4 linked regions of the Caenorhabditis elegans genome follow. The protein of the gene in region 1 purifies or fractionates together with the protein of each later gene. This does not show direct contact. Each region holds a gene or a part of one and is shown in the gene's direction. Other genes may lie near its edges.

The links.
Region 2: the proteins of sftb-1 (region 1) and gsp-2 fractionate together in Caenorhabditis elegans (co-fractionation; one large-scale study listed by BioGRID). This does not show direct contact.
Region 3: the proteins of sftb-1 (region 1) and sftb-2 fractionate together in Caenorhabditis elegans (co-fractionation; one large-scale study listed by BioGRID). This does not show direct contact.
Region 4: the proteins of sftb-1 (region 1) and snr-3 fractionate together in Caenorhabditis elegans (co-fractionation; one large-scale study listed by BioGRID). This does not show direct contact.

Annotation. Positions count from the first base shown.
Region 1 is NC_003281.10:4,261,936-4,271,708, reverse strand, and holds sftb-1 (Splicing factor 3B subunit 1 domain-containing protein), read left to right. Parts: upstream 1-2,438; 5' UTR 2,439-2,442; coding exon 2,443-2,586; intron 2,587-2,658; coding exon 2,659-2,938; intron 2,939-2,984; coding exon 2,985-3,647; intron 3,648-3,699; coding exon 3,700-4,443; intron 4,444-4,493; coding exon 4,494-4,581; intron 4,582-4,985; coding exon 4,986-5,220; intron 5,221-5,270; coding exon 5,271-5,540; intron 5,541-5,599; coding exon 5,600-6,535; intron 6,536-6,582; coding exon 6,583-7,011; intron 7,012-7,060; coding exon 7,061-7,126; intron 7,127-7,513; coding exon 7,514-7,627; 3' UTR 7,628-7,926; downstream 7,927-9,773. Other genes in the region: R10E4.1 (BTB domain-containing protein), read right to left, coding at 382-542, 588-1,081, 1,290-1,438; depd-5 (DEP domain-containing protein), read left to right, coding at 8,661-8,834, 9,694-9,773.
Region 2 is NC_003281.10:7,333,127-7,339,898, forward strand, and holds gsp-2 (Serine/threonine-protein phosphatase PP1-beta), read left to right. Parts: upstream 1-3,460; 5' UTR 3,461-3,496; coding exon 3,497-3,548; intron 3,549-3,604; coding exon 3,605-3,736; intron 3,737-3,862; coding exon 3,863-4,093; intron 4,094-4,151; coding exon 4,152-4,366; intron 4,367-4,415; coding exon 4,416-4,529; intron 4,530-4,576; coding exon 4,577-4,711; intron 4,712-4,765; exon of another isoform or gene 4,766-4,876; intron 4,877-4,940; coding exon 4,941-5,063; 3' UTR 5,064-5,639; downstream 5,640-6,772. Other genes in the region: F56C9.10 (BCAS3 WD40 domain-containing protein), read right to left, coding at 1-305, 482-664, 1,872-1,991; kap-1 (Kinesin-associated protein), read left to right, coding at 5,875-5,944, 6,009-6,081, 6,528-6,765. UniProt on the Caenorhabditis elegans protein: Serine/threonine-protein phosphatase essential for chromosomal dynamics during meiosis and mitosis. During meiosis, promotes chromosomal cohesion and germline immortality via a small RNA-mediated genome silencing pathway.
Region 3 is NC_003283.11:126,520-134,356, forward strand, and holds sftb-2 (PSP proline-rich domain-containing protein), read left to right. Parts: upstream 1-1,717; coding exon 1,718-2,008; intron 2,009-2,056; coding exon 2,057-2,834; intron 2,835-3,671; coding exon 3,672-4,315; intron 4,316-4,932; coding exon 4,933-5,028; 3' UTR 5,029-5,152; downstream 5,153-7,837. Other genes in the region: W03F9.1 (Zinc finger protein ZPR1 homolog), read right to left, coding at 1-59, 110-130; W03F9.2 (C2H2-type domain-containing protein), read right to left, coding at 570-902, 949-1,211, 1,262-1,319, 1,376-1,432.
Region 4 is NC_003280.10:6,488,331-6,493,489, reverse strand, and holds snr-3 (putative small nuclear ribonucleoprotein Sm D1), read left to right. Parts: upstream 1-3,728; 5' UTR 3,729-3,736; coding exon 3,737-3,815; intron 3,816-4,029; coding exon 4,030-4,134; intron 4,135-4,179; coding exon 4,180-4,281; intron 4,282-4,328; coding exon 4,329-4,423; 3' UTR 4,424-4,659; downstream 4,660-5,159. Other genes in the region: T28D9.1 (uncharacterized protein), read right to left, coding at 52-99, 305-400, 449-572, 963-1,084; T28D9.11 (uncharacterized protein), read left to right, coding at 1,497-1,682; rsp-5 (putative splicing factor, arginine/serine-rich 5), read right to left, coding at 2,272-2,379, 2,425-2,503, 2,831-3,082, 3,134-3,321; plpp-1.2 (Phosphatidic acid phosphatase type 2/haloperoxidase domain-containing protein), read right to left, coding at 4,740-4,858, 4,904-5,003, 5,054-5,159. UniProt on the Caenorhabditis elegans protein: Plays a role in pre-mRNA splicing as a core component of the spliceosomal U1, U2, U4 and U5 small nuclear ribonucleoproteins (snRNPs), the building blocks of the spliceosome.

The DNA of each region.
Region 1 (9,773 bases):
TGATATAAAATGAATATAGAAATGTAGAAAACTATTCGTTCAATCTGAAAATAATGTTTATTTTTGCTCTAAACTATTTGAAAAGCACTTCAAATACTGCGTTAAAGTTGCCGTTTCCAGTTAAAAAGTTTTTGGCAAATGATAGCTTTCGAGTACTAGTTGAGGTGTTTTTCAAAATTTTAAACTCAAATTAATATTTTTTCCGATGGTACAACCCATTTTCTTCATTTCTATACCAGTTTTTCATTCATTCAATATAATGAATTATAACATTGAAACAAACAGTTTTGTAAGTTTTGCAGAAGATTTGCCGCCCACGCTTGTTGTAGATACCGGGAGCAATTCATAGTAAATTCCCCACAAGTCCACGTTTGAACGTACCAAAACTCTTTGCATCTTATACTTTTCCACGTAAGAGAAACATTTCTCCGTCTTCTTCTGATATTCATGATAATGTGCACACATGAACATCTCACACGCATCCACAATTGGTTGACATTGATAACGATCTGCGAGTTGGAGAAGATAGTCGAGGCTTTTCTCTGCAAATTTGATAATAATTCGATTCTCAAAATTGTGGAACATACTTGTAACAGGTTGTCTGTGTGGATAAATACATCTGAGGAAAGTTATAATCTCACGGAACTTCTCTTTCATCTCATAGATTTCTTTATCTTCACCCAATTCTCCATAGAATAATGCTTTAAAGAATGGAGACATCATTGACAGATATCTTTTATTCACACGAATAAGACGATCTTCAACTTTCAACAAAGCATTCTCTTCTTCTGGTAGAACATCAAAATAGTCGTAGAGCATTCCGAAGTTCATAGTTTTAATGACATTCACTGTGATTTCTACTCTCATACTTCTCAGCTTCTCTCGAACCATATGATCTTGAAGCTTCAATGGACGAAAGTAGACATGATTGGATCCTGTATATCGTCCAGTAAACTTTTCGCTTCTCACAGAGTTTGTAACGTGAGCCCGAATTTCGAATTCAACTTCCGCTGACCAGGTGGCTGGAGTTTTGAAGTAAGCAGCAAAGCATTCGAAGGAATTTGCACGCAACTCAATTTGCCTGACAATTCAGTTTTGTTATGGGATTATATTATTTCTCAGAAGCAACGTTGATCGATTTCCGTGCAAAAATACGGTTTCTCGAAACGACAATAAAGAGTACTGTAGTTTCAACTTCTTAAAAATTATGTTTTTTTTTAACCATAAAGCCAAAATTCAGCGTTTTTTCCAGAAAAGTGAACAATTTATCGTTTAGAAGTAAAACTGACCATTTCATACACTTCAAATGAATCCAATATCTGTAGACTTTGTGCTCCTCGTCTAGGACCAAATCAAGAGTCTTGCTACTCTTAAAATCATCACTTAAATCCACAATATCCACTGGATACTCTTCAGCGGCAGCCTTGTTCGGAGCCATTTTCAGACTTTACCCTGAAATTTTCGATAAGATTTTGTTGGGGAAAAAAGAATCTCATAAAAGGAGAAAAGGCATGAACTGAAAAAGAAGCACGTGGCAGACCGAAAAAAACGGGGAAATCGATAGAAAAGGGTTGTAGGGGCAAGGAGACATCTAAACAACACACATGCTATATGCTGCCCCAGTATTCTGCGTCTCTTCTCTCTCTCTCTCTCTCTATAAGAACGAGAAAGCAAAAACATGATAAAACCACTTAAAAAAATAAGAAAGCTTTTATTTTAAATAAAAATTTAAAAATAAGAACATTTTAGTTATGCTTCAATTTTAAAGTGGCCACAATGTTGGTGAAAAAAAATTAATTTTTAAAAAAGTTCACAATTTTATTGGAAATTTGCTTATAAAGTCGATATACGTCGAAAGAAACACTAAAAAACAACAAAAAACAGAAAAGACCTACTAAAACGAGCAACTCACCATATTCCAAATGAAATGTCAAAACTCTTGAAGTGAACACAATCTTCGATCTTCCTCCACTGATCGGAGAGCGCGCCAGCAGGTGCTGTTGGCGCGCGACCGGTGCATTGACGCGATTCTCGTGCAAAATTTCGAATGCAATTTTCGCCTTTTAAGGGACAGTTTTCAGTTATTTTACGTTTAAAAACTTTTAAATTATTTAAAAAAAAACAACAGAAAAACTTTAAATATTGTTGTCTGTCTGATGTTCATAAAAATTCGTAAGATAATCCATTATTTTTCAAGGGTATTAATATTTTAGTTTCTTGAGTGTATTTCTTTGAATATTGTTCATTGTAAAAGGATTATGGTTTCCATTTCTTTTTAGTGATTTCATTAATAAATTTTTGCAATTGTTTATTACAATTTGAAAATGGTTTCGCGCAAGCTATCGAAGTTTAGGATGTTGTTTTCTAAATCTTTTCTAAAAAAAGTTTTTTTCCTTCCAACTTTAATCTTTCTTCCATATAATCAATATTGATTGTAGATCGATGTCTCGTTCAGGCGAGGCTTATGCGCAGGAGTTGAACCGCAAAAGGGTCGCAAACCAGCGTGCCGCGGCAGCCGAAGACAACGATGAGAATAAGGGAAACGGAAATAAAGTGGCCTTCGGAGCCGCTGGTAATTTCGACACGGTTAGTGAATTCTAATACTTTATTTGAAAATTTGAAAATTCTCTATTACTTTTTGAATCTTTTCAATTTCAGGATGTTTACGGAAGTGTTCGTGGTGAAAATCGGGATAGTTACCTAGACTCGATTGGAACCGGAGAAGAAGATGACGTCGATGAGGATTCGATGCCGAGTGTACAAAAGAAAAGTACAAATTATGCACAGCCACACAAATTCATCGAAGAGGTGGCTGCTGCCTCCGAGGACACTGATCCATTCGCAGATACTCGCACAAAAACCATCGCAGAACGACAATCCAAGTATCACGAAAGAGCTATGAGGAGACAGATCTCTCCAGACAGAGCGGATGCTTTTGGTAAGATCGAAAATCATTTTGACTTTAATTAAATTTATTCTTTCAGTTGATCAAACTCCTGACAATCGGAATCGAGGTTACGCAGAAGTTATGCGTGATCAGATGTACCATGAAGAGAAAGGGCGTGTTGAACGGGAGCTTGCCGATCGAGCAAAAGCTGGAGAGCTTCATGTTACTGGACAGCCAGAGAAAAAGAAAGGAAGATGGGATGCTGAAGCTCCATCAACTGATGCATCTTCTGATAATCTTGGTGCAGCTTCTGCAACTCCATCTCAGGGTTCTGCTCCACGAAAAAGATTAGGATTTTCGAAGATTAGTGCAGATGCAGCAACACCAAGAGCTGCTAGATGGGATGAAACACCGGCTCACTCGACTGGAGCAGCTGATGCAACTCCTTCTGTGGATAAATGGTCAACGACTCCGGCAGCACAGACCCCGAGAAGAAATCGTTGGGATGAAACTCCAAAAGAGAATCTCAATGATGGATCAATGACACCGGGATGGGGAATGGAGACTCCTGCTAGAGGAGGATCAGATGATGTTAAGATTGAGGATACTCCATCCGCATCGAAGCGTCGTTCACGATGGGATCTGACACCATCACAAACTCCGAATGTGGCAGCAGCTACTCCACTTCATTCCGGATTACAGACACCATCATTCACACCGAGCCACCCTTCACAGACTCCAATCGGAGCAATGACTCCAGGTTTATTACAAAATATTGTAATTAATATAAAATTAATATAAAATATATTCAGGTGGAGCAACTCCAATTGGAACGGCAGCAATGGGAATGAAAACACCAGCTCCTCATATGATTCCAATGACACCTGAACAAATGCAAATTTACCGATGGGAGAAGGAAATTGATGACAGAAACCGTCCATTGACTGATGAAGAACTCGATTCACTATTCCCACCTGGCTACAAGGTTCTGGTTCCTCCAATGAACTACATTCCTCTGAGAACACCATCACGGAAGTTGATGGCCACTCCAACTCCAATGGGTGGAGCTGCTGGTGGAGGATTCTTTATGCCTGGAACACCAGATAGAGATGGAATCGGAGAGAAAGGAGTCGGTGGTCTGGTGGATACTCAACCTAAGAATGCAGAATTACCACCTCTAAAGCCAGATGATATGCAATATTTCGATAAGTTGTTGATGGATGTAGATGAGAGTCAACTCACGAAAGAAGAGAAAAATGAACGGGAAATTATGGAGCATTTATTGAAAATCAAAAATGGAACCCCGCCAATGAGAAAGAGCGGATTGAGAAAAATAACAGAAAACGCGCGAAAGTACGGAGCAGGTCCACTTTTCAATCAAATTCTTCCACTTCTCATGTCACCATCGCTGGAGGATCAAGAACGGCATTTGATGGTAAAAGTTATTGATCGAATTCTATACAAATTGGATGATCTCGTCAGACCATATGTGCATAAGATTCTTGTCGTCATTGAGCCACTTCTTATCGATGAGGATTATTATGCAAGAGTTGAAGGTTTGAAAATTTAGAATAAATTTTAAAATTTAAAAATTAAATATTTTCAGGTCGTGAGATCATTTCCAACCTTGCAAAGGCCGCTGGATTGGCAACAATGATTTCTACAATGAGGCCTGATATTGATAATGTTGATGAGTAAGTTTGTCGACAGTTTTGTTGATTTTTCAATTAAACAAACACCAAATATATGGTTGTTCAATTTTCCCTGGAAAACAGTAAAAAAATTGAAGAAATATTAAAAATTAGTTTGAAACTATAGAAAATCTGGCAACTTTTGGCCATTTTTGAGAACTTTCTGAAACGTTCCAGCTGAAATTAATGTTAATTTCAGATTAATCAAGTGATTTTCTATAGGTTTACACTAGTTTTTAATTTAAAAAAGTCCGAAAAGACCGAATTTTTTCAAAAAAAGTTTTAAAAATGTATTTTTTAGATTTTTAAAAATCTCACTATGAAATTCGGTATTTGCGGGTCAGTTTTAATGAATTTAAAGCAGAAAAAACATCACAAAGCTTTTAATCAAACCCAAAAATTTGCAGATATGTCCGTAATACAACCGCTCGTGCATTCGCTGTCGTCGCCTCAGCTCTCGGAATTCCAGCTCTCCTCCCATTCCTTAAAGCTGTGTGCAAAAGTAAAAAAAGTTGGCAGGCTCGGCACACGGGTATTAAAATTGTTCAACAAATGGCCATTTTGATGGGTTGTGCAGTATTACCACATTTGAAAGCACTTGTTGATATTGTTGAAAGCGGATTGGATGATGAACAGCAAAAGGTTTTCTTTTTAATTTCTAAAGTTTCTGGAATTGATGCAAATCGTTTCAGGTCCGAACTATCACTGCTCTCTGCTTGGCAGCTCTCGCCGAAGCTTCATCTCCATACGGAATTGAAGCTTTCGATTCAGTGTTGAAACCTCTTTGGAAAGGTATTCGTATGCATCGTGGAAAAGGTCTTGCTGCATTCCTTAAAGCTATTGGTTACCTGATTCCATTGATGGACGCAGAATATGCTTCATATTATACAAGAGAAGTGATGCTCATTTTGATTCGCGAGTTTGCATCGCCAGATGAGGAAATGAAAAAGATTGTTTTAAAGGTGAGTGATATAATAACCAAAACATTCGTAGAACTATCGTTTAACATTTAAATTTGCAGGTTGTCAAGCAGTGTTGTGCAACAGACGGAGTAGAAGCGAGTTACATTCGAGACGAAGTACTTCCAAGCTTCTTCAAAGCATTCTGGAATCAAAGAATGGCTATGGATCGTCGTAACTATCGCCAATTGGTTGATACAACTGTGGAAATTGCTCAAAAAGTCGGATGCGTTGAGATGATTGCTCGAATTGTTGATGATTTGAAGGATGAAAATGAGCAATACAGAAAAATGGTTATGGAAACAATTGAGAATATTGTAGCGTTGCAAGGAGCGACTGATATTGATGCTCGACTTGAAGAACAACTGATTGATGGTCTTCTTTATGCTTTCCAGGAACAAACTCAAGAAGATTCTGTGATGCTTGATGGTTTTGGAACAATCTGCTCAAGTCTTGGACGACGTGCCAAGGCATATATCCCACAAATCTGTGGTACTATTCTGTGGCGTCTCAACAACAAATCTGCAAAAGTTCGTCAACAAGCTGCTGATTTAATTGCCAGAATTGCACCGGTTATGCATATGTGTGAAGAGGAGAAAATGATGGGACACATGGGAGTAGTATTGTATGAGTATTTGGGAGAAGAATATCCAGAAGTACTTGGATCAATTCTCGGTGCATTGAAAGCAATTTGCAATGTTATTGGAATGACCAAAATGACTCCACCAATCAAAGATTTGCTGCCAAGATTGACACCAATTTTGAAGAATCGTCACGAGAAAGTGCAGGAGAACTGTATCGATTTGGTGGGAGCAATCGCTGATAGAGGATCTGAATTTGTATCTGCAAGAGAATGGATGAGAATCTGTTTCGAGCTTCTCGAATTGCTTAAAGCTCACAAGAAAAGTATTCGAAGAGCTGCAATTAATACATTTGGATTTATTGCAAAAGCTATCGGACCACATGATGTTCTCGCAACGTTGCTCAATAATTTGAAGGTAGGCTCGGATTAGAAGTGATTCTTTTAAAATAAATTATTTTTCAGGTCCAAGAACGCCAGCTCCGTGTGTGTACAACAGTCGCCATTGCCATTGTTTCGGAAACTTGTGCCCCATTTACAGTACTTCCAGCAATTATGAACGAGTATCGTGTACCTGAAATTAATGTACAAAACGGAGTTTTAAAAGCTCTTTCATTCATGTTCGAATACATTGGAGAAATGGCAAAAGACTACATTTATGCAGTTGTTCCGCTGCTCATTGATGCATTAATGGAAAGAGATCAAGTTCATCGTCAGATTGCAGTCGACGCAGTTGCTCATCTTGCTATTGGAGTTTATGGATTTGGTTGTGAAGATGCACTTATTCATTTATTGAATTATGTGTGGCCCAATATGTTGGAAAACTCACCGCATCTTATTCAACGATGGGTGTTTGCATGTGAAGGAATGCGAGTTTCGTTGGGACCTATTAAGGTTTTTATTTTAAATTCTTAATAATTTCAAAAATTAAAATTCATTTCAGGTTCTTCAATATTGCCTGCAAGCTCTTTGGCATCCAGCGAGAAAAGTTCGAGAACCAGTGTGGAAGGTAATTATTTTAGTTTCCTTGAATTTTCAATTACAGAAATAGTGGAAATATTCGGAATATAGCTTTTAAAATATTTATAGAATGTTTCTAATTTTTTAATGATTTTTTTCAATTGAATTTTTATTTTTCAGAGAAAATTTATTTTTATTGTGAAATATCTTCTTTTTTTTCGACCAAAAGTGAGCGACCGGAAAAATTGAAAAAGGAAAAAATTAAATACAGGTTGCGCGGGAATTCAAAAATGTTTTGGTACTTCTCAAATTTTCCGCAAAATTTAAAAAAAGATTAGAAAATTTCTATAAATTTTTTAAAATTTGTATTCGGAATATTGAGACGTTTTTTCCACAAGCGCTAAATTTTTATGTAATTTCATATTAATATTTCCAGGTCTTCAACAACCTAATTCTTGGCTCCGCAGATGCTCTTATTGCCGCCTATCCACGTATCGAGAACACCCCAACAAATCAATATGTCCGCTACGAACTTGATTATAATCTTTAAATAATTTTCTAATTTTTGTTTTTTTTATTTGGATCTCGATAACTTATTTTTCTATCTCCGTGTTCCCTCCCTCCTTTCATCACATTTTCATAGAAAACGAAACCTTTTATATTTTAATCCCATTTCCCTCCAAATATTCTCTTGAATCTAGATTAATCTAACAAAATTGTTTTGGTTGTCAGTGGTTTTTTTTTGTTTTTCTATTACTTTTCTCCAATATCAATCAATTTATTCCCAAAAAAAAAAACAACAACAACTCTTGCGATAGATATTTAAAATGAAGACTTGTCAAATTATTTTAATGTTTTAAAGAAATCCCTTTTTTTTTGTTGAAGTCAAATTTCGCTTATTTTTTCTCGTTTAAAAATTTTTTAAATACCTTAAAAAATATCAGAGTTTCCTAATACTCTCCAAATATAAAAATAATTTTCTAATTTTATTTTTGGCAAAATTATCTTTAAAAAAGAAATTTTACAAATTCTTTCAATATTAGTTCCTTAAAAACGAAAATTTTGCGCTTTTTGCAGCAACAGTACAGTGGCTGGTCTCGAAACGACAAATGTGTATTAAATGCAAAAATGGTGTGCGCCTTTAAGGATTACTGTAGTTTAAGAATCTCTTTGTTACGGAATTTTCATCGATTTTTCATAATCTTCTTTCAATTTTTATTTTTCTAATCGAAAAACTTTTGTTTGCACAGAATTTTCATCGATTTTATCTCAAAAATATATTTACTCATACAAATATTAAAATACTTAAAATTTGAACAAAATCTATGAAAATTATGCAGCTACGATATTTTTGTTAAACACATTTTTGCATTGAACTAAAATTGTCGCGTCGAGACCGGTTACCGTATTTTTTGTACAAATGTTCGCGTCTTTGTAATAATTAAATTCTCTGAAAATTAGTTTTTCTCAAAAAATCGATTTTTTTCAGTCATCCCTTCCAAGTGAGCAAAAGAATTTCGAAAATCTTCGTTCAAAAGCGCAGGTGCTGCTTTGGTCCGTGAAGGCGGTGTGGATCCACGGGGATGGCGTTCGAAATAGCTGGACCCAGCAGCAGCAATAACTCAAGTCAACGGAGAGCAACCACTGAACCACCGCCTGAAAATGAGCTACAACTTGGACTTCACGAGGCACAGAAGATGACATGGAATGCTAAAGTCGTGTATCACACGATCGACAAATGTCCGCATTGTGATCCGGTTCGTAATGGATAGGGCACAGAATTATTCATTAAAATACTGAAAAATTAAAATTAAAGTAAAGTTAAAATACTCAAATTACCTCAATAGACCGGTTTTGATGGATTAAAAATTCGAAAATAAACTTCGATGAACTAAATTCTCCAATTTCTCAACTTCCGTGTAATTTCTCAACTTCCGTGTTGATGAATTAATTTTTATTTAATTATTTACTTTTGCACGTTTTTTTCTCTCTTTTGCATTTTCTGATGATTGGAACGATAATCTGGACAATTTTCACTGAAAATACGCAAAATAAAAAAGTTATTAAATAAAAATTAATTTGCGACATGGAAATGTTGGTAAAATTCGAAGATTTTAAGCAATGTCCAATTTTTAGATGATTTTCATGAATTTTCCAAAAAAAAAACAGCTGAAATTATATTTGAATTTCCGCACAATTGTATGTCCAGAAAATGCAGAAATTTCGAAATTAGGCAATTCATTTGCTTGGGAAATCAAGTTTAATTCAGCCGGTTTTTTAAAAAATTGTTTCGGAAAAATCTCTACTCCTCCCTTTAGCATTCTTTTTTCATTTTTAGGCATTTTTATGATGCTTCATTTTGAAATTCAGTCTTTTTGTAATTTTGATTTATTTTATTTTAGTTTTTCCAATAATTTTGATCAGTTGCCGGCTGTTAGTTGTCGCAAAATTGGTTTTCTGGTTATTGACAATAATAAAGTATTTTTCAGAGCAAAAAAACCGGAGATAATCGAAAATAAAATTGTAGAAATTTTATCGAAAATATGGCCAGTTTTAATCTATTATTCAAAAAAATCGAATTCTTTTGATTTTCCAAAAATAATTCATATTTTTCAGAGCAAAAAACCATCATGCCTGAAGGAAGATGAACATATGGCAGTACTCGTTCATGATAAAACACTTGCATTTATGAAACC
Region 2 (6,772 bases), 3.1 Mb from region 1:
AGAGTTTGTTGTTCTACAGCAGATTGTCGAACGACTTGTCCCTTGATATAAGAAACTGAGTTGGTTCTTGGCTTTGTCATTATCGTATTCATTGACGGAATTGGTGGTGGTGCTGATCTCTGATGTGGTTTTCTTGGAGGTGCAGCTGGAGCATCGTCAAGTGACATATCGACAAGCATTTCTTCAGCTTGTAAAGAATCCTGTTCAACTGCTGTTTGGGACGGTGGGGATGTTGGAGGAGACGTTGTGGTCCTATTGACCACTGGAACGGCGTCCTCGTCTTCTTCCGGCGAATCCTTCACATTCTCAATTAAAAAATTATGACGGGTTATCGAGTGTTAATATTATAAAAAAATTTCAAAAAGTTTAAACGTCCTTGTTGAGAATTTAAATTTCAACCAGACTACCACATTTAGAGAGACGATTCTTTTTTCAGTTTTAAATTCTACAAAATTTTTCAAACATGAAATCAGAAACATACCGGTCTGCTACTCAAACTACTCTTATCCGAAGAGCTGAAATCCAAAAGATCCCCGCTAATGTTTTTTTCTTTTTCGATGGTCGGAGCCACCGTTTCTTCTACTTTTTCTTTGTCTTCTTCTCGATTCTTCTCTACTACTTCTTCTAAAACTTCTGGTTTTGGGTCCTTCTTGATGGGGTTTTCCTGGAAATTTATAAATTTTGAGATGGAAATGGTTTTATGGAAATTAGTCTCGCAAAGTTAATCAAAAGACGTAAATTGGTTTTATTTTTTGTTCACACTTCAAATTGAGAAAAAACAGCATATGGGAATAGATGATGTGTTATAATTAACATTGAACGTGTACACTCAAAATAATAAAACTGCGTGGCGTGTACTGCAGAAAACCTAATATTTAGGCCCCGCCTTTTAATCGTCCACTCACGGGGAAAAGACAAAAATAGGGGAGGGGGGGGGGGACAGCTCGCCACGCCAACAGTGAGAAAAATAGTGTGGTGCGCGGACCTCGAATGATGTCGGCGGCTGATATTGCCTGGGGTACGGCTTTTTGCGTTTTCCCCGTGAGTGGACGATTAAAAGGCGGGGTCTAAATATTAGGTTTTCTGCAGTACACGCCACGGAGTTTTATTATTTTGAGTGTATGTGTTAGGGTCAGTGGTCACCTGATGATGAAATGAAAGTCAAACCGATAGAGGAGTGCCAATCAAGTGGAGAAGAAAAGAAAGAAAATATTGGAAAATTTCATGAAATCGTGAGTGAGACGCAGACACTGTTATGGTGCTTTCACAATGTGTTGAAATTGTGCAAAACAGGTGGAAGAAATATTAATTTTTGACAAAAAAAGTAAAATATATTTGTGTATTTTTCAAATTTACCTAGATTCAAAAATCATTTGAAATGACGTATACCTAATATTTTTTATTTTGCGACGAGAAAAAACTAAAAGTTATCTTATGTTTGATACTATGTATACATTCGTATGCAGAAGCCAAAGATACGTTAACCGGCCTTGACACGACTCGTTGCTACGGAATTTTTTATCGAATTTGTAAGAAAAACTATAAAAAATTTATGTAAACTCCACACATCGAAAGTTTGGAATTACAGTACTATTTAAAGGCTCACATTCAACAAAAACTTGTCGTGTCCAGACCCAGTACCGTTTTTTGGCACGAATTTTCGCGTCTGGGTAGTACTATAAGAAAAACATTCGTTAGCGTTCCGAATCTATTAAGATTTTATCTATCTTTGAAAATAATTGCATAGTTTCGATGTTTGCAGCGCTTTAGAAAACGGAAAAATCCGTTAAACGGTTTTTTAAAGGAGATTTTTTGAAATTCGATTTTTTTAACTTTTAGTTTTGAAAAATCATTATGAAGTAACACTTTACCGGCTGTTCCTCTTCTGGTAGCGGTTGTGGCTGTGTTTGTTGATGTTGCTGTTGAGGGCGTTGATGATTCTTCTTGTTCTTCTTTTTCGGGCCCCCAACAGAGTTCGCGTTTGGCGGCATCTTCTTCGAACTGTGCAGATTATCGATTTGTTCAGAAAATGTGGTGAAGAACAGAACACAAACAGGAACAGATAGGATAGAACGAATGAGAAGAGAGGACAACAAAAAAAAGAGAAAAAATAATCAATAGGAAGATGTGAGAAGATAAAACAACAGAGATTTTGTTTTTCTCAAACTTTCAGGTAGATCAACGATCTATGAGTGTCTGATCCGACAAAGGTGCATTGTTACCAGTGACAGAAAAGCGGCAGAAGAATCGAAATCATGCCCTTCTCTTTCTCTCTTTTCACTTCTCACGTGTGCTAGACATGACATGGGGAGAAAACGACAGAAACTGCAGTTGGTCACGAGGGACTAGAGGGAACAGGCGACGCAGAGAAATGGAGGGAGTTGTGAGGAGGATGGAGAAGAAGGCTTCCATGAGCACCACACTTCTCGCATCTTTTTTGCTGATTTTTCTCACTCCAACTATTTTTCTTTTTTCTTATTTCTTATTGAACTTGACTAGACATCAATCGATTTTTTTAAATGCTCACTGCTCATTTTCTAACTAATGCTTCAATATATTTTCTGAACGAATTCATGGATGCAGAAGTACCAAAGTGTTCATATATTTCTAGCTAAATAATATATAACTTTTGAGTACTATAATAATCTCATATTTCAAAATGATTCATAAGTAAAAGTTTTATCAAAATATGCTAAATAAACTTCTTATAACTACGTTTTCATCTATTAAACTTTCACTTAATAAGATTTAATGCATCTTGTTCCCCATGTTTTTGCATCTGATCATAATTGCTGACAAATCGTGAACGAAGAACAGTGTATTTGTTATATTTACACATTTCAATCTCTCACCACCAACCAATTTCTCTGCCATCTTGGTCGAAAACAAAGTGACGAATTGGCGCATCATTCGATTATATGTGCCCCGTTTTTGACAAATAGTGAAAATTTCAGGGAAAAGAGAAACTTTAAGCTTTATCTTCTAAATAATGGTAGAAATATTTTCCTCAATGTAAAATTCAACTTTCAAAGCCCTCTAACCAAGTTAATCCTTTTCGCGCGCTCTTTTTCAATTCAATACTAATGAAGTTCTGAAAATTTGAACGTCCCCTTTTTTTTAATTTTAACAAGAAGAAAAAATGTAGAAAAACAGATTCAAAATCATTAAATTAGCGGATAAATTCAGAAAAAATGAGAACATGTAAAAGCGCTCCACCGGCCACCGTACCCTGCTGAATGCGGCATTTTCGCGGCGAGACCCGCCACTCTTTTCATTCGTTTTGACCCTGTCGCCTCCAAATATCTTTCGATTTTTGACATGTTTGCTGCTGTTTTTATCAACTTTTCGAGTAATCACGCGATTTAAAGACGTAATTATCAAACTTTCTTTCTAAATTTTCCGTATTTTCACGTTTGTTGATTGACATTATCTCAAAGAGGTAATTCTATTCGTATTGCAGATCTAATTGGGTTGTTTGAGCGATTTCTCGCAACAAATGGACGTAGAAAAGCTTAATCTGGACAATATCATCTCCAGATTATTGGAAGGTATGTGTTTGTCATAGTGTTTATTGAAATTAATCTTAAAATGATTTCCGCTTCAGTCAGAGGATCCAAACCAGGGAAAAATGTTCAACTCACAGAGAGCGAGATCAAGGGGTTGTGCCAGAAGTCTCGTGAAATTTTTCTGAGCCAACCTATTCTTCTCGAGTTGGAAGCTCCGTTGAAAATTTGCGGTAAGTTCTATCGAAAAAAGTTGACGTTTCCTGCTATGAGTCATTTTACTTATTAGTATTTCCTTCCACAGGAAATTGCCGTTTTTATTTTTGATAATATATATTCTGAGAAAATATATTTTTCAGGTGACGTGCACGGACAATACTACGATCTTTTGAGACTGTTCGAGTATGGTGGATTCCCCCCAGAGTCGAACTACTTGTTCCTCGGCGATTATGTGGACCGAGGGAAACAATCGTTGGAAACTATCTGTCTCCTACTTGCATATAAAATCAAGTACCCGGAAAATTTCTTCCTGCTCCGAGGAAACCACGAGTGTGCCTCGATCAACAGAATTTATGGCTTCTATGACGAGTGTAAGAGTTTGATCTGAGATTATCTTAGTACAGATTTATTCAAATCTCATGTTTTTAGGCAAGCGGCGATACAACATCAAACTGTGGAAGACGTTCACCGATTGCTTTAACTGCCTGCCAGTTGCCGCCATCATCGACGAAAAGATCTTCTGCTGTCACGGAGGACTTTCTCCAGATCTTCAGTCTATGGAGCAAATTCGTCGTATCATGAGGCCGACAGACGTACCAGATCAAGGATTGTTGTGCGATCTGTTGTGGTCAGATCCTGATAAAGTTCGTTTGTGAACATAAAATTCAATGAATGATTACCATTTATTTTCAGGATGTCACTGGCTGGGGAGAAAACGACCGAGGCGTCTCTTTCACTTTCGGACCAGAAGTTGTTGCCAAATTCCTGCACAAGCACGATTTGGATTTGATTTGCAGAGCTCACCAGGTATTACTTAAGATTTTCTGCAAAGTTGCGAACCGAGAAATTTTCAGGTTGTGGAAGACGGTTACGAATTCTTCGCTAAGCGGCAGTTGGTTACATTGTTCAGCGCTCCTAATTATTGTGGAGAGTTTGATAACGCGGGATCGATGATGACTGTCGATGAAACACTGATGTGCTCTTTCCAGGTAAACATAGCGGTACCATCTATATAATTTTAAATACTGATAATGCGTATGCATTCACCAATGATGCAATGGTTAAATCAGACGAGTCTATTTTGGCTATCTATTCGAGTTCTTCGAAGAAATTGCCGCTAAGCGGGGTGAAATTGAGGCATTTGTCTGAGGTGATTTATTAAACGCTAAAACTACCTATCAAACATTAAAATAAAACAATTCGGAATATTTTTTTCAGATCTTGAAACCAGCAGACAAGAAGAAATATCCATATGGTGCTGGAGGAGTTGGTTCAAATAGACCAGTCACCCCACCACGAAACGCACCGGCTGCGCAACCAAAGAAGGGTGCCAAGAAGTAATCATCAGTCGATTTATCTATCATCTGTAAATACCTAACCTTTTCTTTGTTGTTCACGCCCCAAGAGGCCTCGGCCATCTCTCGTAAATCGGCTTCAAAAAGTTGTGTACATTAATTTTGATTTTAAACATAGTTTCGAAAAAGTTTAAATTCGATTCATTATGATCTAGGCTGGCACGAGAAGATGCTGTGGTCCCGGCGAATCTCCTCTCAATTCAAGCTTTCGTTGTCAACATCCCTTCCTCTTTATCTCTGTGGACCATTTAGAGCTAATGACTCCTCACCAATTGCTGGCTCAATTTTTCATCAAAACAATCCCCATTTTATTCGTTTTTAAATTCCAAATTTTAATTTTTTTTGCTAAACTTATCTCTTAAAACAGTATCAAATTTTACTTCTCTAAATGGTCTAAATATTTAAAACAAATGTTTATGATGTCAATCAATCTCCACTCCTTTCCTTCCTCCATTCATTCGTCCATCCCGTACTCTTCGTTTCTCAATTTTATATTGTTAAAACCCCCATTTGTCGATTTAATTCATTAAAGTTTTCCGAACAAATAAAATAGAACACTGGTACAAGCGTGTAAGCAATATTTCTTATTACAACGAGTGCAACGTCTCCAAGGAGAGCGTGCGAGACGAACAGACATCCCCCACGACTAGTGCTCCTCGAGCCGTCTCATCGATTTCTGTCGTTTGTCAGTTATTCAGAAATGCTCCGCCCCGGCTCTTCAGTAAGCTATAATAGGTAATCAGAATGAAGAGAAATATTTTTTGAGTTTTTTCGATTGATTTTCCGTGTTTAGCTCAATGAATCAAGTTTCAATAGATGCACACCCGTCAGATCAGGCAATTATTGTACGATTTGAACAATCTCCTAGTAAGTTTTATATTTTTATTTTCAATTGAATGTGTTACGAAGATTATTTGGAAGTTTGATTCAGGTTCTTCAGCAGGAATTTCAATAAAAAAGCGAGCTTCTTCAGCGAACGTTGAGTCTCTTGGCCATCAAAAAATGTAAGAATCTGATATAAAATATAAAATTAAACTGGAATGCAAATCTGCTTAACAAGAAAAATAAAATAAAATATTTTTAAGACCGTATGCCCACGAAGGTGCACGTATTCTTTCGGATGGGTCTCACCGCGAAAAATGTTTATGGTAACACTTTAAATTTTTTCTGTTGCAAAAACCACAATCAAGATACAGAAAAGTTATTTAATAATTGCTCACAAAACCCCGAATAACAGAAAACGCACGACCGAAAATAGCAAAAAGTGTTGACTTGAGCATTTTGCTCGCTGTGAGACCCATTCCCCATGAATCCATGCCTCTTTAATTTTTAGAATATTGGAAAATAACTGATAAAAAATAATAATCGAATATATATATATATGAGAACCTCAAAATGTCACCTGCATCTAACATTGTACGGCTACAAAATTACCCAAATTGTATTACAGAATCCACTTGAAAGAAATGAGTCTGGATGTAGATATTCGTGCTTTATCAAATGTTATTCTTCAAAAATGTCTTTTCATTCCTGCCACGTCACGAAGTCAATTGGAGCAGGTTTTGTTCTACATTCAAAAAAGAGGAAATCAACGAATAAGTGCGAGATCAAGAAGTTCTTCGGCCGTTTCATTTGATCGAAGGCCTATTCATAGTCCTACAATTAGTGCAGAATTAGGGAAAATAGATGTACGTT
Region 3 (7,837 bases), on another chromosome or scaffold:
ACACTATCAACAACAATTGGAGCAGCCTCATAGTCATCTGCTGACAAGTTTCTGTAGATCTGAAAAATATTTAGGAAATTGTGCCGTAAATTCTAGCAAAAACACTTACATCTTGAGAATCCGCAGCCATTTTACTTTAAAAAATGAATTTGTTGATTAAAATCGAAAATTATCTGCTTTAAAGTATTAATTTTAGAGAGAAATCTGGAAAAAACTGGAAAAATCTGGAAAAGAAAAACAAAAAAAATTCAAGTCTGCAAAGTTGCGTGACGGTGTTTGCGGACAAACGCCTGCGCCTCTTCATTTCGCGTTGTGCCTCGCGGTTTTTAATTATAAAATTTTTTAATAATTAGAATTCAGTACACATTCTTGTAAAGCCTTCCTATCTTGTGTCACTGAAGCTTTTTCGCAAAAAAAGCGCTTCCAAAGTAGCAGAAGAAACTGAGAAAAATGAATAAAACATTAAATGTCTGCGCTAAAATCTGTATTTTATTTTTATTTCAAAAAACGAATAAAAATCTTGTGATGAAGTTTTATTGACGGAAAATCGAATGAATATTTCATTTTTATCAAATTCCAACAGTATCTTGTTGCTCGTAGTCGTAGTTTCGGGATTCCAGAGACAGAAGTGCTGGATTGCCGGGCTTTTGAGCATTTGTAACCGATTTTTCTTGTGGCGGCGCTTCTTTTTCAGTTTCTGTGTGTTTTGAGATCATTTCATGGCGAAGACAGCATGGAAGATGCACTTTCACAGCTTTAAACTTGATTTTTTGAAGTTTTTCAATCATTTTCAGCCCATTTTCAAGTCGTTCTTTCGAAATTCCGAGTTGCTCGGTGGTTTTTGCATTTTCCAGACATTCGATCAACTGATTTTCCTTTGCAAAATCCGTCTGTTTGATGAGCTAAAAATTAATTAAATAAAATATAAAACGCAATACTAAATTTCACCTGAAAACTGCCAGGTTTGCCACCATGAAAATGTTCCAGGTGGTGCTTTCCTTCATCTTCGGTGTGAAAATTCAAGTTCCGGCATCCAGAGCATCGAAACGGGCGGTATATTATATGAGTCTGGAGCATGTGGAACTCGTATGCCGCCCATGTTGACCAGGCCACGGAGCAGGTTTCGCAGACAGGCCTTGGAGCATTTTCGGGAATCGATTCCCCGTAGGAGTCTGGATTGAATTCGGGAACTGATGAAGTTGGGAGTTTTCCTGAAGGTTAAAAAAAATTAATTTCACAAATAATATTTATAAATAATCACGTTTTAATGCAGAAGCTGGCTGAACAACTCGGATGGTGCACTGGCGTTGAGGGGAGCTCTGAAAAAAGAAATCTATAAAAAATGGCAGTATTTCTCAGCTTATTTGCAACTCACGAGAGTGACTAGATAATCGTCATGGTCTTGGGCTCCTGATGTAGATGGCTCTGTCATTTCAACCTGAATTTTCTGTTTTTAATCTTTTTAAAGCATTATAAAGCTTTAAAAAAATTTAAAAAAAAAAGAGAAAATTCAATGATAAAACAGTGTGCAAAAATGAGAGACGGAGAGTATTTGGCGTCGGTTTCAGTGTTTGGTACGCAAACACCGACCCATTGCGTACTCTTCGAATTAAATTTTTTTTGCGAATTTTTAGATTTTTCAACGTTTTTGCGGTTAAAAACCTCTTTTCCTCATTGAAAACTTTTCAATTTTCAACTAAATGTTTTCCTTTTTCAGATGTCAGGCGAGGATGACTACAATTCAGACGATGAGGCTAACAAGAACCTATCTAAAAAGGAGCTTCAGGAGTTGAAGAGAAAACAGCAGAAAAGCAAAAAGAAGAAGGAATCGAAGAAGAGAGCAAAAGCCACGAAGCAAGCTGAAATAGAAACACGAGAGGAGCCGAAAAAAGAGGAGGAAAATGGTGACGATCTTGACGTGGAAATCGATTATATCGGTGAAACAATTGAAATTGAGCCGGATAACCCGCACGCTCAATACTTTTCCGCAATTTTTGATGCTTTTAAGGTAACATATCACTATTTGTTAATGTTTTTCCAATATATCGGCTTCCAGATCTCCACCGACTCAGAAGACGGCTTCTCCTACGGCCATCACGTTTCCAAAGGCGAGAAAAAGGATGATTTGGGAAAAGTCGGTCAGGCCGAGCGAATTATTCAAGAGGAGATGGAAGAACGTGCCAAAGAAAACACAGAGGAGAAGCTTTCGCGTAGAAAACTCCGAATTTCTCTTCAACCGAGTATTGCAAAGCTTAAAGAGACGACACTTCGAGCCGATGTTGTTGAATGGGCCGATGTGACTTCTCGTGATCCGTATCTCCTTGTCGCAATGAAATCTTATAGAAATTCAGTTCCAGTTCCACGCCATTGGAATGCAAAGCGTAAATATCTCGCCGGAAAGCGAGGATTCGAACGGCCACCATTTGAGTTGCCAGATTTTATTAAAAGAACCGGAATTCAGGATATGAGAGAAGCGCTGCTGGAAAAAGAAGAAAGCCAGAGCCTTAAATCAAAAATGAGAGAGCGGGCCCGCCCGAAGCTTGGAAAAATCGATATTGATTATCAAAAACTTCACGACGCGTTCTTCAAATGGCAAACCAAGCCGGCTATGACAAAAATGGGCGAGCTCTACTATGAAGGAAAAGAGATGGAGGCGATGATGAGAGACAAGAAGCCGGGTGAAATGTCGGATGAGCTTAGAATTGCACTGGGAATGCCCATCGGATCGAATGCGTTCAAGTTTCCACCGCCATGGTTGATTGCGATGCAACGTTACGGACCACCGCCCAGTTTTCCGCATATTAAGATTCCTGGATTGAATGCGCCGATTCCTGGTACGGTAAAATGTTCTGGATGTACTATTTTAGAGCAGAAATCTAAAAAACATTATGAAAAATTTTACATTTCAACATAAAATTACCAAAAACCTAGAAAATTGCCTGCTAAATTTCATTTTCAACGTAAAATTAACAAATCTGTGAATTTTTGCACCTGTACCGACCACAAGAACTGAGATCGTGGCGAGACCCGCTTTAAGCGCCAAATTTTTGCAAAATGATAAATAATTTTCTTTTGATAAAAAATTTTCTTCGCATAATTTAACACACAAATATTCATAAATTCTGCCAAAAAAAATTATTATGAAATTTTCAGATATTTTTTTCGCAAAAACATGTTATCCTGAAAGAAATTAAGACAAACTTGACAATTTTATGTTCAGTAAATACATTTTACGAAAAAAAAATGTCTGAAAATTCAGAAAAAATTTGGTTTTGGTTGAAAAAATTATGAAATCAAATTTAGAAAAATAAAAAATAACTTCTTTCACGATTTTCAAGCAAAAAATACGATACTGGGTCTCGACACGACAAATTAATGTTTAATGCGAGGTGCTATATTTTGATCAATTTTTCCAAATTTATCAATTAAAAACTCAAAAAAAAAACAAGTTTTGGTAAATTTTGGGAGATGCCACATTGAAAAGTTGGTTAAATTTTCAATTTTAACGGATTGTAGGTCATTTTTTGAGCCACCATAACTTTTTTTGAGGTTTTAAAAAAGTGTGCTTATGAAATTCGGTAGTTTAAACGATTTCGAGTCTAATAAAGCAATAAAAAATTTCGACTACAACTTTAAAGCCGTAAAAATGGAAAAAAAATTGAAATTTTCAGAGGGCTGCGCATTCGGCTATCACGCAGGAGGTTGGGGAAAACCACCAGTCGACGAGTACGGACATCCTCTGTACGGAGACGTGTTCGGATTGGCCGCTCCAGCTTTCGAGCCCGAAGACGAATCGCAAATCGAGCGGCGATATTGGGGAGAGATCGGATCCGACGAGAGCAGTGACGAGGAAGAGTCGGAGGAGGAAGAACATGCCGACGATGATGATGCTGATGTTGAAGGAGGATTCCAGACACCTGCACCGGTTGAGGGAATGATCACACCATCTGGAATGACGACTGGAATCACTGGAATCGAGACTCCTGACACGATTGAGCTCCGGAAAGGAAAAGAGAGCTCTGTGCTCGGAACAGACACTCCTGCGGCTGCCTATCATATCATTCCGGAGAAGAAGAACGAACGTATCGGTGGACAAATGATGGCATCCTCCCATACTTATGATCTTTCCAAGAAGCATGCGGTTCGTGACGATGGAGTTCAGATTTCGCTGGATCCTGAGTCTATTGATATGGATGAGCAAGGACTGGCGGCTCGGTACGAGGAGCAGCTCCGAAAGCAAAAGCATCGGGATGATGATGATGAGGATCGAGAGGATTTGACGGATATGGTGGCTGAGCACGCTGCCAAACAGAATGTTAGTGTGTCGAAAAAAAAAATTTCTTGAAAATTCAAAGAAACATTTGAAATTTGTTGGAATTTCCCTAATTTTACTGTAAAAGTACTCTAGTAGTACTGTAGGATTACTGTAAAATTACTTCAGCACGCGGTGCCAATCTGTCCCATTACAGTTTGATCTACAAAAAATGCGGGAATTTTTTGCCCAAAAAAAAAATGACGGCGGCACGTTTTTAACCATGCAAAATCAGTTGAGAACTCTGCGTCTCTACTCCCGCATTTTTCGGAGATCAAACCGAAAAGAGACATTCTGACACCAGTGTTCAGGAGTACTGTAGGTGTTTTGTAGTAGTAGTAAAACTTTAGGGGTACTGTAGGGATACTGTACTGTTTTTGTATTTTGAAAAAATAGTGGAGATACCGGGGTACTGTAGTTTTGAAAAAATATTTCTTTTTGAAACGATAATGGATGGGATTATGGACTTTAGGTATACTGTAGGAGTACTGTAATTTTGAAAAAAAGTGTTTTCTTTTCTTCGTTGTAGTATTGTAGGGATACTATATGAGTACTGTAAAAGTGAATATTGAAAAAATAGAAAAAAATATCGTCTCAAAAAATTAAATTTTCATTTTCAGAGAAAACGCAAAGTTCAAGATGACAAGAAGAACAAGACGTCATCATCCTCGTCGTCAGGATCCAGTGGCAAGAAGCATAAGGACTTCAAATTTTGAAAATCTGATTGTTTTAATTTATTATTTCTTTCTCTCTTTTTTTTTGTAATTTTTAAGCTTAAATTCCAATTTTTCTGTCACCCCAAATAATCGCCCCACAATTTCAATTAAATGTATTCTGTAATTGAGAGTTTTATACATTTTTGGAAAAGTTTTACTATAAGAATTTGAAAGTGCACAAAAATTGGAAAATAATTTTTTAAAAATAAAAAAAATAAATTTCAAAATGTTTCGGTTTCTCAAAAAATAAAAATTAAAAAAAGTCGAAAATCATAAGTAAATTTAGAAAATTAATTTTAAAAAAAACGTGTTTCGTTTTGCTTCCAGAAATAATCGAAAATAAAAAAAACTTTATTTTTTTAGAATTGCAAAAAGCGGGTCCCACCACGAAAATGTCAAGCTACAGTAACCCCATTTTCGTCGCGAGACCCAAAATTTCCAAAGTTAAAGGAACCTAGTCATGATTATACTTATTTCAAAGCTCTCAATGAGCTGAATTCAGATTTTGCAATATTTTTTTGAAATTTCGATGCGTTTCGTTGCGGGACTCAAAATTTGGAGAATTTCAAAAATTGGCAAAACATAGTCAGCTAAATTCAAATTTTGCAGTAATTTTTTTTCTAATTTTTCTAATGTACTTTCACTGAACAATTAATTAAAATTTCAGATTAAAAAAAATTAAAAAATCTGAAAAATTGGAAAATATAAAAAAAAGCAATTTTTTTTGAAATTCAAAAAATTTCTAAATTTTCCATCTACCAATTTTCAGAGATTGGAGCTGCTCAACAACAGAAGAATTCAATAGAGAAATGGATTTGGAGCAAATGAAGAAGACGAAAAATAAATAAATATGAAAAATAAATATTTTCTTTCTAACCAGGAGAAAAAAATGGGGAAAAAATTTATAAATCGAGTATTTATGACAGGAATGAATTAAAACAGAAATCACAGAAAGTTTAATTAAGCGAGAATTTTTCGCAGCAGAGTCGTGAAGATCCCACCATCAGTCCTTGAACAAGTCGCTATTATAGATGTCCTGCATTGAAGTGGCTGTGACACATCCAGCAAAAGTACGTTCAAGCTTCTGAAATAATTATTTTAAACTATGGATTTCAGATTGTCACAAACATCACGATCTGCAACTGACGCCGCGAGTTCCTTCAAATCCTGAGCCACTTGTGCAACATCTTGGTGTGGTGTGCTGGTGGGATCCGGAACTGAAATTAAAAATTTTCCTAATCTTTGAAAAAAAATTAGCAACTCACCATCATCTTGAACACCAGCTGGTCCTCTTTGGTTTCCTTCACAAGCAAGTTCCCGAAGTTTGGATCATTTTGAAAGACCCCGGCTTTATTTGCAAGCATCGTCGACAAGACGAATTGACGTAGGATGCTCGTCGCTACGTCCGCCGTCAGGTCACGCTGGCCGAACAGCGATCCGGCATTCTCCATCACCAAAACAAGCATGTGAGCTATGTCATCGTCAGGCAGCAACTCTTCGGGAAGTTTTTAAACCACAGCTGACGTCTTGAGAGGCGTAAAGTTGGGAGACCGTTTGGCGACTGGAATGAGGCGGGCATAGGCTTGAATTTCGGCCTGGGCTTGAAGGTTGACATCGTCCGTTTGCAGAGGATAGAGCTTTGCCACTAACTCTTTCCCTGTCCCTCCTGTGTTTCCATCTACAAATTGCCTTCCCATCGTTATTCCCATCGCTTTCCATGGCATCACATTTTTCCGTTTCGTGTACTCGAGGAGGTAACCAAATGCAGCTTTATCTGTAAAAAATGGAGTTAAAAAGTTATGCGTATTCTAGGATTACTGTAGGGTTACTGTAGTTAGAGTAAACTGATTTTTTTGGGTCTCGAAGAGAAAGTTAGTGTTCTGGGGGTACTGTAGTTATAACTTTAATTTTTGAATTTTAATAATTTTTTTGTTGTGATAATAATTTAAAAATTAAAGAAAATACCTTTCTCCTGATTCTTGCCAGCGGTCGTGCTTTCTGCGTTGGTTGGATGCTGTAAATTGTTTAAAACATTTAAAACATTGAAATTTTTGGCGGAAAATTCAAATTTTCAGATAACAATTCATTCGCAAAAAATTTAGATTATCGAGCTGAAATCGAATAAACTCATGAAATTGCAGAAATTGGCTCTCACCACGAAACTGCTAAGCTACAGTAACCCTATTTTCGTGGCGAGACCCAAAACTTGCAGAATTTTTAAAAATTGGAAAAACCTAGTCATGATTATATTTATTTGAAAGCTCTCAATGAGGTGAATTCAGATTTTTTAGTAATTTATTTTTAATTTCGTCGCTTTTCGTGGTGGGACCCAAATTTTGGAGAATTTTAAAATTGTCAAAACCTAGTCATGATTATACTTATTCGAAAGCTCTCAATGAGGTGAATTCAGATTTTTTAGTAATTTATTTTTAATTTTGTCGCTTTTCGTGGCGGGACTCAAGTTTATTCGAAAATTCCAATTTGCTGACAAAAATTTTTTGCCGATAAATTTAAATTTTCAGCGGAAAATTTTAATTTTCGAGCTGAATTTGAATAAACTTTTTCAAAAATCGGCTCCCACCAAGAAAATGCTAAATGCTACAGTAACCTCATTTTCGTGGCGATGCCCGAAATTTGGAGAATTTTAAAAATTGGCAAAACCTAGTCATGATTATACTTATTCGAAAGCTCCCAATGAGCTGAATTCAGATTTTTTAGGAATTTTTTTGTAATTTCGTCACTTTTCGTGGCGGGACCCGATTTTTGGAAAATTTTAAAAATTGACCAAACCTAGTCATGATTATACTTA
Region 4 (5,159 bases), on another chromosome or scaffold:
AAACGGGGAATTTGAGGAAGGATGAAGTGGCATTTGTTGTTGGGAAGCAACCTATTCGGCGGCGACAGCTGGGGCATCTCCAGAGGCTGCGACGTCAACCTGCAAGGGAAATCGAATTATTGACAATGACATTGAATATTAGTCCCTAACGGAAGATGAAGCGATTCATAAAGAATTCATCAGAACTGCTCGTGTACATCGCACACATTACGCCCCGATATATCCCATAATTAGTGCTAAGTCGCATACGCCTATCCTATATCTTTTTAGAATGCCTAATTAGATTCCTGCCCTTCGTTCTCACCTCATCCTCAACCTTGCTTTTCTTGGTCAATGGAGCATCCTCCTCTGCGTCGGCGACTGGAGCCTCTTCGTGGGCGCTGGACACACGCTTACGATCCTGCAAAAATAAAAATTGGTCAACAAAAATAATATATAACTATCTTACGTTGCCGTTGGTGTCCTTTGCTTCTCCGTTCTCGACTGCCTTATCCTTATCGGCCTCTTCAGCCTCAGTCTCATTCTTCTCCTCGGTGGCCTCAGCTTGAGTCTCCTCTGTCTTTTCACCGTTCCTACAAAAATAGTATAAATTGTAGAGAAACGGATTAGTGCAATCTGTTGCCTGCTCACTACCCTACGCCGTATTTGTTTTCACCATTGCCGCCTGTCTTCTTTATGGCACCATGCCTTCTGCACACTGCACCAATACACATACTATGAACAAATAAAAGGGCATAGAAAGAAATATGAATGACCCCTCAGTTTTTCACAGAACAGTTTCTACCATTATGACCGTCCCACATTATTCACGTCTTACGAGTGACCTCGAAGGAAAACACCACTCAACGCCCGCGCGCAGATGGATACAAAAAAGTGGCTCGCGATTTCCATAGAATTGACCTATATACTACAGTTTTAGAAAAATGCACAGGTAAATCGCAAATTATGAAACAAAAACTCACTGCTCACTGGTCTTCTCATCAATCACAACGACATCGTCCGATCCAGTCTCGGTTGGCTTCTCCTCGACTGGTTCGACAACCTCTGGCTCTTGAGCGACAACAGTCTCGGCAACGTCGGACATTTTTCTGTAAAACAAATGTTAATGTAGTGCTGGTGAATAAATCTGAATGAGAAATAGAAGAAACATTTGAAAATATCATTGAGTTTTGAGAAAAAAATATCGAGTTATTGTATTAAAAATCTGCTACTGAGGAAAAAATTTTTTTTTAATTTAGATGTGTTGTCGTTTCAAAAACACAAACGATGTTCTAGAAAACTTTTTCCTAGGAAGAGCGCGAACAACTCTATCGCGGAAAGAGACATCTTATTATTTGGCTCTCGCGCCTCACAGGGCCCGGCGCTGCGCGCCCGTCCACCGTCGGCCTAGTCTGTGCCTGACACTCACGCAACGCTCACTGGACAGCTAGAGGCGGCCGGCTGGTCGAAGGAAGCGGTGTCCTACTCACACTCCTCAACAGCGGACGAAACGAAGAATGAGGAGGGGAGGAGAGCCTCAATGCGATGGCCGCGAGTTTCGAATTGCCTCGTCGCCGGCAAGAGAACGAGAGGACGACAACGAAACGGCCCCGCCCCAAACGTCGGCTGCGCAAGAGCCTCTCGTCGACTGCTTTCTTGGCACTGTGCCAAATTCATGCTTCGTGCGGTGTGAATTAATCTAAACAGTAATTATCAAAACGCGAGATTTAGTAAACATTAACTGTACAAAACTAACGAAAAGGGGCAAATACACACACACCGACAAATGTTCGACGAGATTTTTCAAGGAAACATCACTCGCAGGCTTTCAAAATTCGCCTTTTTTTCGGTTTTTGTCCTAGTTTGCAACTCTTTTCAATTTAGAGAATAGAAAACGATAAGCTTTTTGTTTAGAAAACTCGAAAATTTGCGTTCTATTTCAATATATGAGTATAAAAATTAGCTCGAAAATCTCGTAAAAGGTTTTTTCTAATAATAATGACTATAAAAAGTACAACGGCAATTTCCAGAACAGTAAAAATAACAAAGCAGTAAATTAGCCCAAAATTGCGTTCGACCTTCAAATTCCCCAATATTGTACAGTAGTTGAAGTAATCGTGGTGAGACCTGTGTGAATAATACCATGTGCCTTTAAATATTTTTAAAAAATGAAGGAAGTCTCCGCTCGGTTTTATTCGGGAATTATTAAAATCAGAACAGCTCTGAGGATGAACAAATATTATAAAATAGAAGTGGTAAATGAACAACAGTAAACGGTATAAAAACACAATTTTAATCCTTTGGAGATCCTGGAGACGGAGAGCGAGACACACTGCGATTGCTGCCATCTCGGCTGTGACTTCTTCCACGGCTCACGCTGCGCTTTCTATCTCCGCCGTTCTGAAACCATATGATTTTTACTATACAAGCACATAAATGAATTACCTTTGGGGGAGATCCACTTCGGGTTCTGCTTCGATCTTTTGCTGGCAGTGGTGAACGAGATCTCGACGCTTCACGCTTCCTAAAATATAATTCTTGCATTTAATAGAGTCGGAATCTAAAGGACTCGAATACGAAACCGATATGTTTGCGCGAAGTTGTCTGATTCAAAGTTAGGGATCTCACTCTTTTAATCGAAACAGCGGCTTTTGGTAACTGTGGGGACTGAACGAGAAGTGAATTGAAATGTATTGATAGTTGACCCATACTGTGCTCGAACTGTCTCAGCTATGTGTATGCCATTGCGATGTGGGCTTGTAGGTGATATTGATTTCTCATTGAACTGTGGCTAAAACGGTTCGTGATGTGGCACCCTTCCAAAACAATCCACACATTAAAGTTAACTTACAAGTCTCTTTTCGGGCTCGGCGAACGGGATTCGCTTCTGCGACGACTTTCACGAACTGGTGATCTGGATCTGGAGGAGCTTCTGGAACGGGATCTGCGAGAACGTTTGCGATCACGAGAGCGGGAACGTCTTCTTGGTGGAGTACGTGAACGACGTCTAGGAGAGCGGGAACGTCGTCGTGGTGATCTCGATCCATGACGGTCATTGCCGCGTGGTTTTCCGCGAGCCATTTCCACGACAAGGCGCATAGAGCTGAAAATAAAAAGTTAGAACATTTTTAATTTTGGTTTATTATTTTATTACCTTCCTTCCATGGTTTTTCCATCCAAATCATGGCATGCGTCTTCAGCATCACGAGAATCTTCAAAATCGACAAAGGCAAATCCATACTTCATTGAGATGTTATTAATTTTGCCATATCCTTTTAAGAATCGCTCAACGTCGCGTTCGCGTGCATTGTATGGAATTTTTCCTAGATAGAGGCGCGGCATTTCTGGAAAATCACTTTATATTCAAAAATTAATTTATTAAACGCCGTTCATTAAGCCCAGTAAAAAAAACACATGAATTCGAGAAATCAATCTCAATTTTAAGAAGAGAAAGTCCTAAGTCAAGAAAAAGAAATTCTATCAAAAGCGCACACATGAAAACGAGTGCGACCGTACTCCTAGTCGTTGCGAGACCACTTGGCATGCCGCCAAGTCTTTTGCATTTTCGAATGTGCTCAAAATGACTGGATTCCAGTCACTGGAAATCTGTTTTGAAACATTTTTCCTTGATGCAGATGTTTTTATTTGTCATAACCTCTTTCTTATCAGTTAAAAGTTATTTTTATCGTCGTATTTTCTATTGAATTCCATCGTTTCCTTTTATTCTTCTATAATTGTATGTATTTCAGGTAGAAAAATGAAGTTGGTCAGATTCCTGATGAAGTTGTCTCACGAGACCGTCAATATTGAATTGAAGAACGGTACTCAGGTGTCCGGTGAGTATTTTTTAAGATTAATTGTCTGCTTGAAAGTGTTTTAATCGAGAAGTTGAGTTATTAACCAACCAAAATCAATCTTTCACGAATTGCTCGACATTTGTTATAGTGTTTTTATATTAGGATACATTTTCAAAGTCATAAATCCGAATAATATTGTATAATTTTAATTACTGCAAAAACGTAACTAAACAACTAAATCGATTTTATTTAGGCACTATCATGGGAGTCGATGTTGCGATGAACACACATCTTCGTGCCGTCTCAATGACAGTTAAGAACAAGGAGCCAGTCAAACTCGACACGCTTTCAATCAGAGGTTATTAAAAATCATATTTGAATAAATATAATTTAAGATTTTCAGGTAACAACATCAGATACATCATTTTGCCGGATCCACTCGCTCTTGACACCCTTTTAATCGACGATGAACCAAGAAAGAAGGCCCGTGCCGCTCGCGCCGGAGGTAGCTTTAAGCGTCTTTTCGACAGATTATTAATATTTTTATTTCAGCTTCACGTGGACGTGGTCGTGGTGGAATGCGCGGAGGAAGAGGAGGTCGTGGTCGCGGACGCGGAGGACCACGCGGAGGCGGTCCACGTCGTTAAGCTATCATCGGGTCATAGCAAATTTGAGTATCGAACGTCCTATACTTTTGTATCACGTTCCTCAAGTTTAATTCACATTTTGTTCCCGTTAAAGTTGCTGACTTTTGTTTAAATCTTTTGAAATAATTTATTACGGCTTTCCGAGTCAACACAAATTTCCCAAGTTTCGCAGCCCGTGAGAACAACTGTACTTTATTTTGTTGTTACGTTCTGATCTCTATAAATTTCTTCAATTCAAGCATTAAGAGCAACAACATAAGGGCAAAAATTATTTATATTTAAAACAAAAAATTCGAATAAAAACAAGAAAATTGCATTATGCACTTTGCGGAACCGGCAACAAAATTGTATCCGAGTCCTGCGGTCCAGTAGCTTCAAAAACAATAGAACTATCCGTAGAAGGTAAAACTGCATCCAATCGATGTCGCTCCTCATCTGGAAAAAAATATGTAATTGAGTTAAAATTTACGATGGACCAACCTTCAGAGTTTCTGGGAGTACGGGGTGGTCGAGGAAGCAGAAGAGGTTGTGTTTCAGATTCAGTTGAATTGTTTGAGAACAAATCTGTCCAGAAGGTACACTGAAAGCAGAAAAAATGCGAAAGTTCCCAAACACTCATAATAATATTACAGTGTAAACAGCCAAGAATATTCCAATGAAAATTCCGACAAGAACATCGCTCCAATGATGCTTATTATCAGTGATTCTGGAGAAGCTAATTCCAAGTCCAATCATA